Linked DNA regions of Canis lupus familiaris. The protein of the gene in region 1 interacts with the protein of each later gene in a pairwise test. Links are inferred from orthologs where the notes say so. Each region holds a gene or a part of one and is shown in the gene's direction. Other genes may lie near its edges.

Evidence for each region.
Region 2: the proteins of TOLLIP (region 1) and ODAM interact in a two-hybrid assay, tested with the Homo sapiens proteins (2 studies listed by BioGRID and IntAct). The two-hybrid records come from large-scale screens. The link is inferred for Canis lupus familiaris from reciprocal best matches to the Homo sapiens genes TOLLIP and ODAM.

Annotation. Positions count from the first base shown.
Region 1 is NC_049239.1:46,016,260-46,020,707, reverse strand, and holds part of TOLLIP (toll-interacting protein), read left to right. Parts: intron 1-3,676; coding exon 3,677-3,826; intron 3,827-4,448. UniProt on the Homo sapiens protein: Component of the signaling pathway of IL-1 and Toll-like receptors. Inhibits cell activation by microbial products. Recruits IRAK1 to the IL-1 receptor complex. Inhibits IRAK1 phosphorylation and kinase activity.
Region 2 is NC_049234.1:60,647,544-60,652,091, forward strand, and holds the start of ODAM (odontogenic ameloblast-associated protein precursor), read left to right. Parts: upstream 1-1,232; 5' UTR 1,233-1,251; coding exon 1,252-1,302; intron 1,303-1,391; coding exon 1,392-1,433; intron 1,434-2,249; coding exon 2,250-2,297; intron 2,298-2,845; coding exon 2,846-3,079; intron 3,080-3,938; coding exon 3,939-3,986; intron 3,987-4,548. UniProt on the Homo sapiens protein: Tooth-associated epithelia protein that probably plays a role in odontogenesis, the complex process that results in the initiation and generation of the tooth. May be incorporated in the enamel matrix at the end of mineralization process.

The DNA of each region.
Region 1 (4,448 bases):
GGGTGCCTCTCTGGACCGTGATGGGGGCTCCAGAGCCCCGAGCACCTGTGTTCTCACTGGTGATGCCAGCCCCAGAGGGTGAGGTGGGTTCTCAGACGAGGCAGAGTGAACAGACTCTGTTCACGGTGCCTGGCGGCTTGTACTGGGGCTCTTGCTCCTCATGGCACCATTGCACCCTGTTCTGTATGCACACACACAGCAGTATGGGGGGGGGGAGGGAGGAGCAGGGAGCCTGATGTGGGGCTGGATCCTAGGACCCCGAGTTTGTGACCTGGAACCACCTGGGTGCCCCTAGGAGCTTGGTTCTAATCCTGTGTTAGCTGAAGAGTGCTATTTGTACGCAGAGTGCAGGTCGGTGTACAGGATATGAACTTATCCAGAGTGTCTGTGGTGTAACAGTTCCATGAGCAGCGGCGAGGAGAAATGTGTGACGATGCTCCTTGTGCGGACAGTGACAGGCCCAGAGGGCCCCCTGCCCAGTGTGCAGCTGACAGCCAGTTTTGGACTCAGTGTGTCCATCTTGTAAGTGTGAGCCAGATAACAGTTTAGAATATTCACGATTTATCTGTAATCAAGATTAACCATTCTTCTCTGGTCTTTGGGCCAGGATAAAGCATGTATGCTGATGTTACAATTCAGACTTTTCCTCTGTGATAATATGGCAAACATAAAAATTTTAGGATTAGCTCTGGATTTTTCCTTTACGTCTGTAAGCCAAGTGTTCACCACACCCTTTCCCGGCCAGTCTCTGAGGTGGTGGGGTTTGTGTTGGCACCTGGACTCTGTAACATCTGACGTGGACTGGCTTTGTCAGCAGCACTGACTTAAGGTGTGGGAACTGGCGCACTTGGACGAGCTCCTTCGAGTTGCAAGTCTCTGGGGTTGTAGCAGCGGACAGACCTGTCTGGCAGCTCCCGGGGCAGCGGGGTGCTGGTTGCATCACCAAGAGGGTGGTATTTCGTCAGAACTGAAATGCTGTTTCCGTCTTCTTTCTTCTTTTTTTTAGTTAAGTTGAAGTTTTTTTCTAATAAACTTTGAACTTTAGAGTTATGGAACAGTTATGAACAGTTCAGAGAGCTCCAGTGTGTTTGTATCTTGTGTGCATCCCCAACAGACGTTTATTATAACTGGAGACCTGGCTTTGCTACGTGACTACTCGCTCCAGGTTTTATCTGGCTGCCCTGTGTTTGCCTCAGTGTCCCTTCTGTCCTGGAGTTCCACCCCGAACCCTACATGGCATGGAGTGGCAGTGGATTCTTAGTGACCTGCACTCTGGGACCATCTCAGACTTCCTCTGTTTTGGGGGACCTTGACCATCTGAGGACTGCCAGTCAGGGATTTTGTAGCTTGTTCCTCAGGTGAGAAGAAGACCCCAGGGCACATTATCCTCCTTGCGCCTTTTCAGGAACCTAGTGTCCCCTAGCCTGTTAGTGCTGGCGCTGGCCAGGGGACTCACCTTCTATCCCTTCTGTGTTTTGTTTGCATGGCATAGTTAACTTCTGTTGTAAAAATCGTTCCATGTTTATAGTTAAGATCTTGTTGAACATTAGATGTTTGAATTTTTTTTTTTTTAAGATTTATTTGAGAGAGCACAAGTGAGTGCAAGGGGAAGTGCAGAGGGAGAGAGAATCCCAAGCAGACTCAGCACTGAGTGAGGGGTCTGATGGCAAGGCTTGATCCCAGGACAAGGGATCAAGGGCACAGCCCATTGCCTGCACTCCTCACTCCTCAGGACTGCAGTACGTGGTATGGGTGGGTAGTTATTTTTCAGAATAAATGAGAATTTGGTCTGTGTGCACTAATCTTCTGCATTTGGTTAACATGAGTCTGTGTCTGCCAGATTACATTCACAGGAACAGGCAAGCTTGCCGCGGCCCCAGTGGAGGTTGGGAGGACTGTGACCAGTTGGCATGGCAGCGTCTGGCCCCGTGTCCGCTGGGAAGAGCTCTGGCTGGGAGTGCGGTTCCCATTTGCCCATAGCAGCTGGTGATGGGTGTGGGTCTGGTAGCCCCCAGGCCAGCCACAGCATCTCAGCCCTCTGGGAGGGTGTGCAGCCTGAGAGGCCCCCAGGGAGGCAGCACGCTCCTCACCTGGCAACCCTGCACCACCTGGGTGCCCCTGCTTTCCCCTCAGGCTGTAATGAGTTCTCAGGGCTCCTGTGGGCCCACCGGGGCTGCCCCACTCCAGACGTGGAGAAGGTGCAAGATGCTCTCCTCGCCAGGCGCGGAGGTCACTCCCATACATCCCAACCCGAGAGGAAGAAGTGTGCTCTTGCTTTGCAGAGGGAAGCAGCTGGAGCACCAAGCTGATGGGTGCCAAGGAAGGGAGTGGCTGGGGACAGACAGCCCCTGGGCCTGGAGACCCGAGTGGGTCTCCACCTGTTTCGGTGCCTGGCTTGGGCGATCTCCAGCCTGAGATGGGGACACGAAGACAGGAACCTAGACCTTTCTAGGGATGTTTGAAATGAAACAGCACAAGATGCTTATGGAGAAATGCTTTCCCAGTGGTGCTTGTGAGCTCAGCGGGTATGGAACCTTTTGGAATCCTCCCAGATCTGTGTCATCTGGAGGTCCAGAACCACAGCTATAGAGGCCTTAGGATATTTGGCACCTGGATATCTGAAGCAGTCTCTGTTGGCCACTGTCAGTAAATGCACTTTGTCACAACTCACTATGACTCGTGGGGGTTTTCTTTTCCCTCTGGCATGTCCTGAAAATAACATTCCTTCAAGGCTCTCGGCCAGAGTCTGTGGTGATGTACTCTGGAGCAGTGGAGGAGACCCGGGAGCCCTGTGGGCAGCACTGGGCCTGCGCCATAGCTCTGCTGCTCCCTCCTGTGGGACTGCGTCAGTCCTTACACTGTGGCCCTCCACACCCCAAACCTACCCTGCCTGGGAAAGAGCGGAGGGCAGGCTGTCCGGGCATCAGACACTGCGGGTCCGCGCTCTGCTGGCCTGGGGACACAGCTGCCCTCTCTGCTCATCTGTGTGGGGGAAGCCTTGTCCAGGGCCACTGCCACGTGTGGCAGTCCACTCCCCTTAGCCACTGCCTTTTCCTGGAAGACTGGCTTCTTGGAACCCTGGGGGCCTCTGTGCAGTCCACCCTCCAGTGCGTCTCCACCCCTTCTTTGAGAAGCCAGGCAGCCTTGTGGACAAGGGATTCAGCAAGAGGCAGGAGGAGGAGGTCTTTGGGGCTTCTTGTTGCTCGTCTTTCCTTTTTGTCTTCTGGGCTGTTATTTTTGAGTTTGAGCTGTTTCAGATGGAGGTTTTCGAGTGTGTCAGCATGGTGGGGCGGGGGGAGCTTCCATGTACCTGGAGACCCAACTTTCTGATTTCATCTCACTGCTGGTTTGAATGAGTGCCTTGCAGCTCACAGGCCTGGTTTGTCCTGGTGGCAGCAGGAAAAGCAGATGGTGGACATGTAGGCAGAGGGCGTGTGACACCTGAGTGCAGCCCAAGAGACTGTCAAGGAGCCGTTCTGAGCTTGAGAACCTGCTGTCAGTGGGCAGAGCAGAAGCCCGCTTTGCTTTTTTGCATCTATTGAGTGAGAGGGCTCCTTGCTGGATGGCAGCGTTGTGTTTCATGGTGCTTGGGCTGGAGACCTTGGCCCCGTGGGCCTCTCCCACCGTAGATGCAGTGACTGAGCCCCCCACTAATGCACCTGTGTTCTCCCCGAAGGTGTACGTTGGTGAGCTCCCGCAGGACTTCCTCCGCATCACACCCACGGCAGCGCAGCAGCAGGTGCAGCTGGACGCACAGGCAGCCCAGCAGCTGCAGTATGGAGGGGCAGTGGGCACAGTGGGCCGCCTCAGCATCACCGTGGTGCAGGTGGGTGTTGGGCCTCCCCGGGGAAGGGGTGGCCCTGAGTGCTGCTTGCTCTCCGGGCTGTGGCTGCTGGGCCACATTGTCTGTGTGAATAAATGGGTTTTCTCTCTCTCTCTCTTTTTTTCTTTTTTTTTGAAACATACGCGTAAAAGATACTGATGAATACCCAGGCTTCTACCAGAAATAGCAAAAATAATCAGTGAGGAATGTTTATGGGTACGTGCTCTGTGCCAGCCTGTGTAGGGATGCCCTGCCTGACCCTCCTGACTGTGGGGGAGGTGGGGGCACAAGGGGAGGGCCTGGCTGCTGAACAGACCGCTAGGAAAGCCAGAGGCACTGTTAGGATCTAAAGTGGTTTTGGTCACCACAACTTTCCGTAAAACCACGAAGGGGAGTCACTGAAGGCAGACAGAGTTGCAGTCAGGCCTCACGAATACTGTGGGTTTTAAGGTGACTGCATCCCAGACACCTGGCCACACTCTCGGGGGTGATAGGGTCACCTCAGATACTCACATGTTCTGAAACTGCCCTCTCATGTGCCCACAGGAGTGGCCACTCTTTACCCTCCACGTGGTCCTCCCAGGCCCTTGTGGCACCAGTCCCAGGGACCCAAAACAGCCCTCTT
Region 2 (4,548 bases), on another chromosome or scaffold:
AGGCTCCTCTCAGGGAACCCATGTAGGACTCATTCGATCTCAGATCCCAGGATCACTCCCTGAGCCAAAGGCAGGCGCTAAACCACCATTAGTCCTTGAATAAAAGCTTAAAAGTTACTCTATTACTGTATTCATTTTAAGGACAATAAAAGGAGCAGAATTAAATTATTCTAGAGGATTTAGTCATAACTGAAGCAAAAGCCAGGAATGATCACAGGGAAACATTTCTCAGAGGATAATGTAATGATATTACTAAAAGTGTGGGAATCCCTATACCACCTAGATGATTAGGAAAGGGGTTATTAGCTAAGTCATTGTCTGAAACCCACTGAATCACTGGTCCCTTTGAAAAATGATTGGTCATTCTTTTTTAAAGATGGGTTTTTAAATTTAAGAGAAGCTTCAAGCAGCAGAGCTGAAAGATTAAAAGAACGCAGATCTTGCATGGGTCTAGATTTCTCTACTTAGGCAAAGGATTGAGGTAAGATATCGAAATCTTTGTTTTCATAGTTTTAAGAACCCAAATCAGTCAACTCTGCAGGATAATCCACCAAGGTCACCCTAAATGCTTATATAGATTGATAATATGAATTAGGATAGGCGTTTTTACATCTGGAGGACAAAAGATAATATGTTTCCACAGGTTGCACTATTTATCAATATTACAGTTTCATTTTATAATCTCTTTACCTGAGTTAGAAAAATATTGACTCAGTTGCTCAGTTTAAATATATTTTATGTTATTAGACTTTTAAATGAACTTTTATCTGTTATTGGACTGCTATTGTCAGATCTTTATTGTAGTATTTTTACTACTACATTAAATACACATTAAAACTGTTTTCATAATAAAGACCTATTTCACTGACTGTAGTCATGGGCCTCCCATGATCAGAAGAACCCATTTCCTTAGCTATAGAACAGCACAAGGGATGAGGCCATCTTGTTCATTAACTTATTTAACTATATCACATACCACCAAATGAATCATTTGGTCAAGCTAAAAGGACAAACAAATAATTCTGGTTTTTATAAACAGCTGCTCTGAGAAAAAGAATAGGTTCTGTTACAGATATTTATAAATCTGCCTTTTTAATTTTAAATCCTAATATATAAGTATTTACTATAGAATTCACTCAACTACTCTTCTGACTGAACAATACCAACGAATTATTGTTACCATGATTTTTACATAGAGGGTCTATTTAAAGCTCAATTTCACAACTTATTTTCTAGATATTTCATCTGAAAATGAAAACCATAATTCTTCTTGGGCTACTAGGAGCCACAATGTCAGCCCCAGTAAGTGATTTCATGGTACAACTAAAATCATCGTGTGAAACCTTTAACAAATCCTCTTTGACCATCTCATTTTTTTAATTATTTTTTAGCTTATCCCACAGCGCCTTATGTCTGCAAGCAACAGCAATGAGGTTAGTTTCAATACCTACAACAATCTCTCCATTTTGTTTTTGTTTTTTAAGGGAACCCAGTGCAGAAGAGACAAAAACACTTATTCGCTAGCTCTCTCTCTCTCAAATAAATAAATCTTAAAACCTGGGAAGGGGGGCCTGAGTGGTTCAGTTCGTTAAGCAAGGCAAGCATCCAACTCTTGATTTCAGCTCAGGTCACAATCTCAGGGTCATGAGATAAAGCCTCACCTCAGACTCCACTCTCAGTGGGGCGTCTGCTTGAGATTCTCTCTTCCCTTCTCTCTCTCCCTCCCCTCATGCCAGCACTCTCTCTCTCTCCCTCTAAAATAAATAAATAAATCTTTAAAAAAAAAAAAAAAAAAAAACCTTTGTTAATTTATCCTGCATTCCTATCCACTAGCTCTTACATCCAAATGCATTTCCAGTGCTCATGTTTATTTGGTATACCAGGTTATTTCTGGAATACTATTTTGCTCCCCATGTGACTGTAAACTCTTTAAAGGCCGAGACAGTGTCTCGTATATCTTTTTATTCTAAGAGCACCCAATATAGGTGTATAGAGGTGTTTAACAGCTTAAAAATTACTGACTAAACCACTGGAATGGGCTGAAGTTGTGCAATCTCAGACCCAACAGGGGAGAGGTAGTTAAATTCCAATCTCTAATCACTGTAATTTATACAAGCCTAGTGAGAAAATACCCCTAGCAGGAAACTGATGGATCAGCCCTGGCTTGTTCTATATTTGTAGTAAACTTTGTTCTTAATAGTTTTAGCATGTGTAACCATCTTGTTTTCATATCATCTTTCCTTTTCCAGTTACTTCTGAATCTTAATAATGCTCAACTTCAGCCACTACCATTTCAGGTACCTTGATAATTATTTTAAGAATATCTGTCAACTGCTTACTTCTTACAGTACTTTGTAGAGAACAAAATGTTTCCTGATTTCATTTCTGAAATTTCCATTTTTAAGGTTATAGATTTATCCCATATATTCTAATGACCATTTGTTTGAAAACAAAAGTAAACGCTGTAATCTGATTAACATTTATTTATTGAAAACTTGCTAAGTGCCAGGCACAAATTCTCACAACTGTGAGACAGTTAAATGAACTATTTATACAAAGTCATACTCAGCTGTTAAAAAATATATATATTTAAAACCAGTCTGGCAACTGCAGAAAGCACACTCGTTATCCACTTGATTCTGCCCCATATTTTTTATGACCACTGGGAATTTAGCATTGTTCGTGCTATTTGCACAGCTCATATGCGCTAAGATGCTGTCCTTTTTTATAAGGCAGCAATGGGATTACAGAAATTATTTCATTTTGGATTTTTCTTCCTCAGGACTGATTTTAAATTCTTTTTGAAATGAAAGATAAATGCTTCCTTTCTGTTATGTCCTTCCAGGGCCCATTTAACTCATGGATTCCTCCTTTCTCTGGGATTCTACAACAGCAGCAGCAAGCTCAAATTCCAGGGCTCTCGCAATTCTCTTTATCAGCTCTTGATCGGTTTGCTGGACTGTTCCCAAACCAAACACCTTTCCCAGGACGGGTTAGTTTTGCCCAAGGAACCCAGGTGGGACAGCAGGACCCCTCACAGCCTCAAACACCACCACAGACCCAGCAGAGCCCTAATCATGTAAGTTGGGCCTCTCCCATCCTGTTGTTCTGGGGAGAATTAACACATGTTGGATGTGAAAATGAGTAGGAATCAGTTTTGAAATAAGACAACAGTTAATGAGAAAATTTATTCTCATAATTTGTTCTACCATCACTGAAAGTACTTTATCTTTTCTGATTTCTACATGAAAAGTACCATTTAAATCAGCTATTCTATTGTAGCCACAAATCAAAAGTGTTAAAAATATGTCTTAGAAAAGATAATTAGGGAAATTTAATCTTTAAAGAAGAAACAATTTACATTAATGATATACATATAATAGATAACCTTCGTTGTCATAAAAGTCTTTAATAAAAATTATAAATGTGTATGGCTAGGTGTAAGAAAAAGCTCTGGAATTTTATGTTAAAAGGTCAAATATAACTGGGGTGTCTGGGTGTCTCAGCCAGTTAGGCATCCAACTCTTGATTTCAGCTTAGGTTGATCTTAGGGTCGTGAGGTCCATGTGTGGAACTCTGTGCTGAGGGTGTAGCCAGCTAAGATACTCTCTCCCTGGGGATCCCTGGGTGGCTCAGCGGTTTGGCACCTGCCTTCAGCCCAGGGCATCATTCTGGAGTCCCGGGATCCAGTCCCATATCAGGGTCCCTGCATGGAGCCTGATTCTCCCTTTGCCTGTGTCTCTGCCTCTCTCTCTCTCTCTCTCTCTCTCTCTCTCCCTCTCCCTCTCCCTCTCTCTCTGTCTCTCATGAATAAATAAATAAAATCTTAAAAAAAAAAAAAAAAAAGGATATTCTCTCCCTCTCCATGTGCTTGGGCACTCTCATTCTCTCTCTCAAAAAACAAAGTCAAGTATAATTTTTTATGCCTTTTTTGGCAGGTTATGCCCTATGTGTTCTCCTTCAAAATGCCTCAAGAACAAGCACAGGTAAATGAATAGAATACTATCACTCCTACAGAAAAGATGGCTATATATACTATCTAATGCTTTCTTTTATATTTGAGAATATGTATACTATCCAATGCTTTCTTTTATATTTTATCTCTGACTCCTATAGCACAGCTATGAAAACTATTATCATAATTATATCATAATCATAATTATCACTGTCTAAAACTGCTATTGCGAGGCTGGCATCACTTTGTTAATGTTAGGCTCACTTAATAACTCCTGAAGAAAGGACAGCTAAGGAGAGTCCCCAGAACCCCTGAGTTTCTGAAGCATGACTGCATTGGGAATTAAGAGCTCACTAAGCTGTAAGTCATGGTCCCTTTGCATGACATTTGTACTGGCATTTGGAAACTCAAGAGAAATACCATGAGCTGACTTTGCCCCACCCTACATTTCTTTCAAAGGGAGATGCATTAAACTGATAAAATATGATGGAGGTATGAAACACTTGCCACATTATTTGGTAGTTAGAGCATTCTGCTCAAAACATTTCCAGGTTCTTTTACATTTTCAATTTAATTTCATATTACAATCAAAT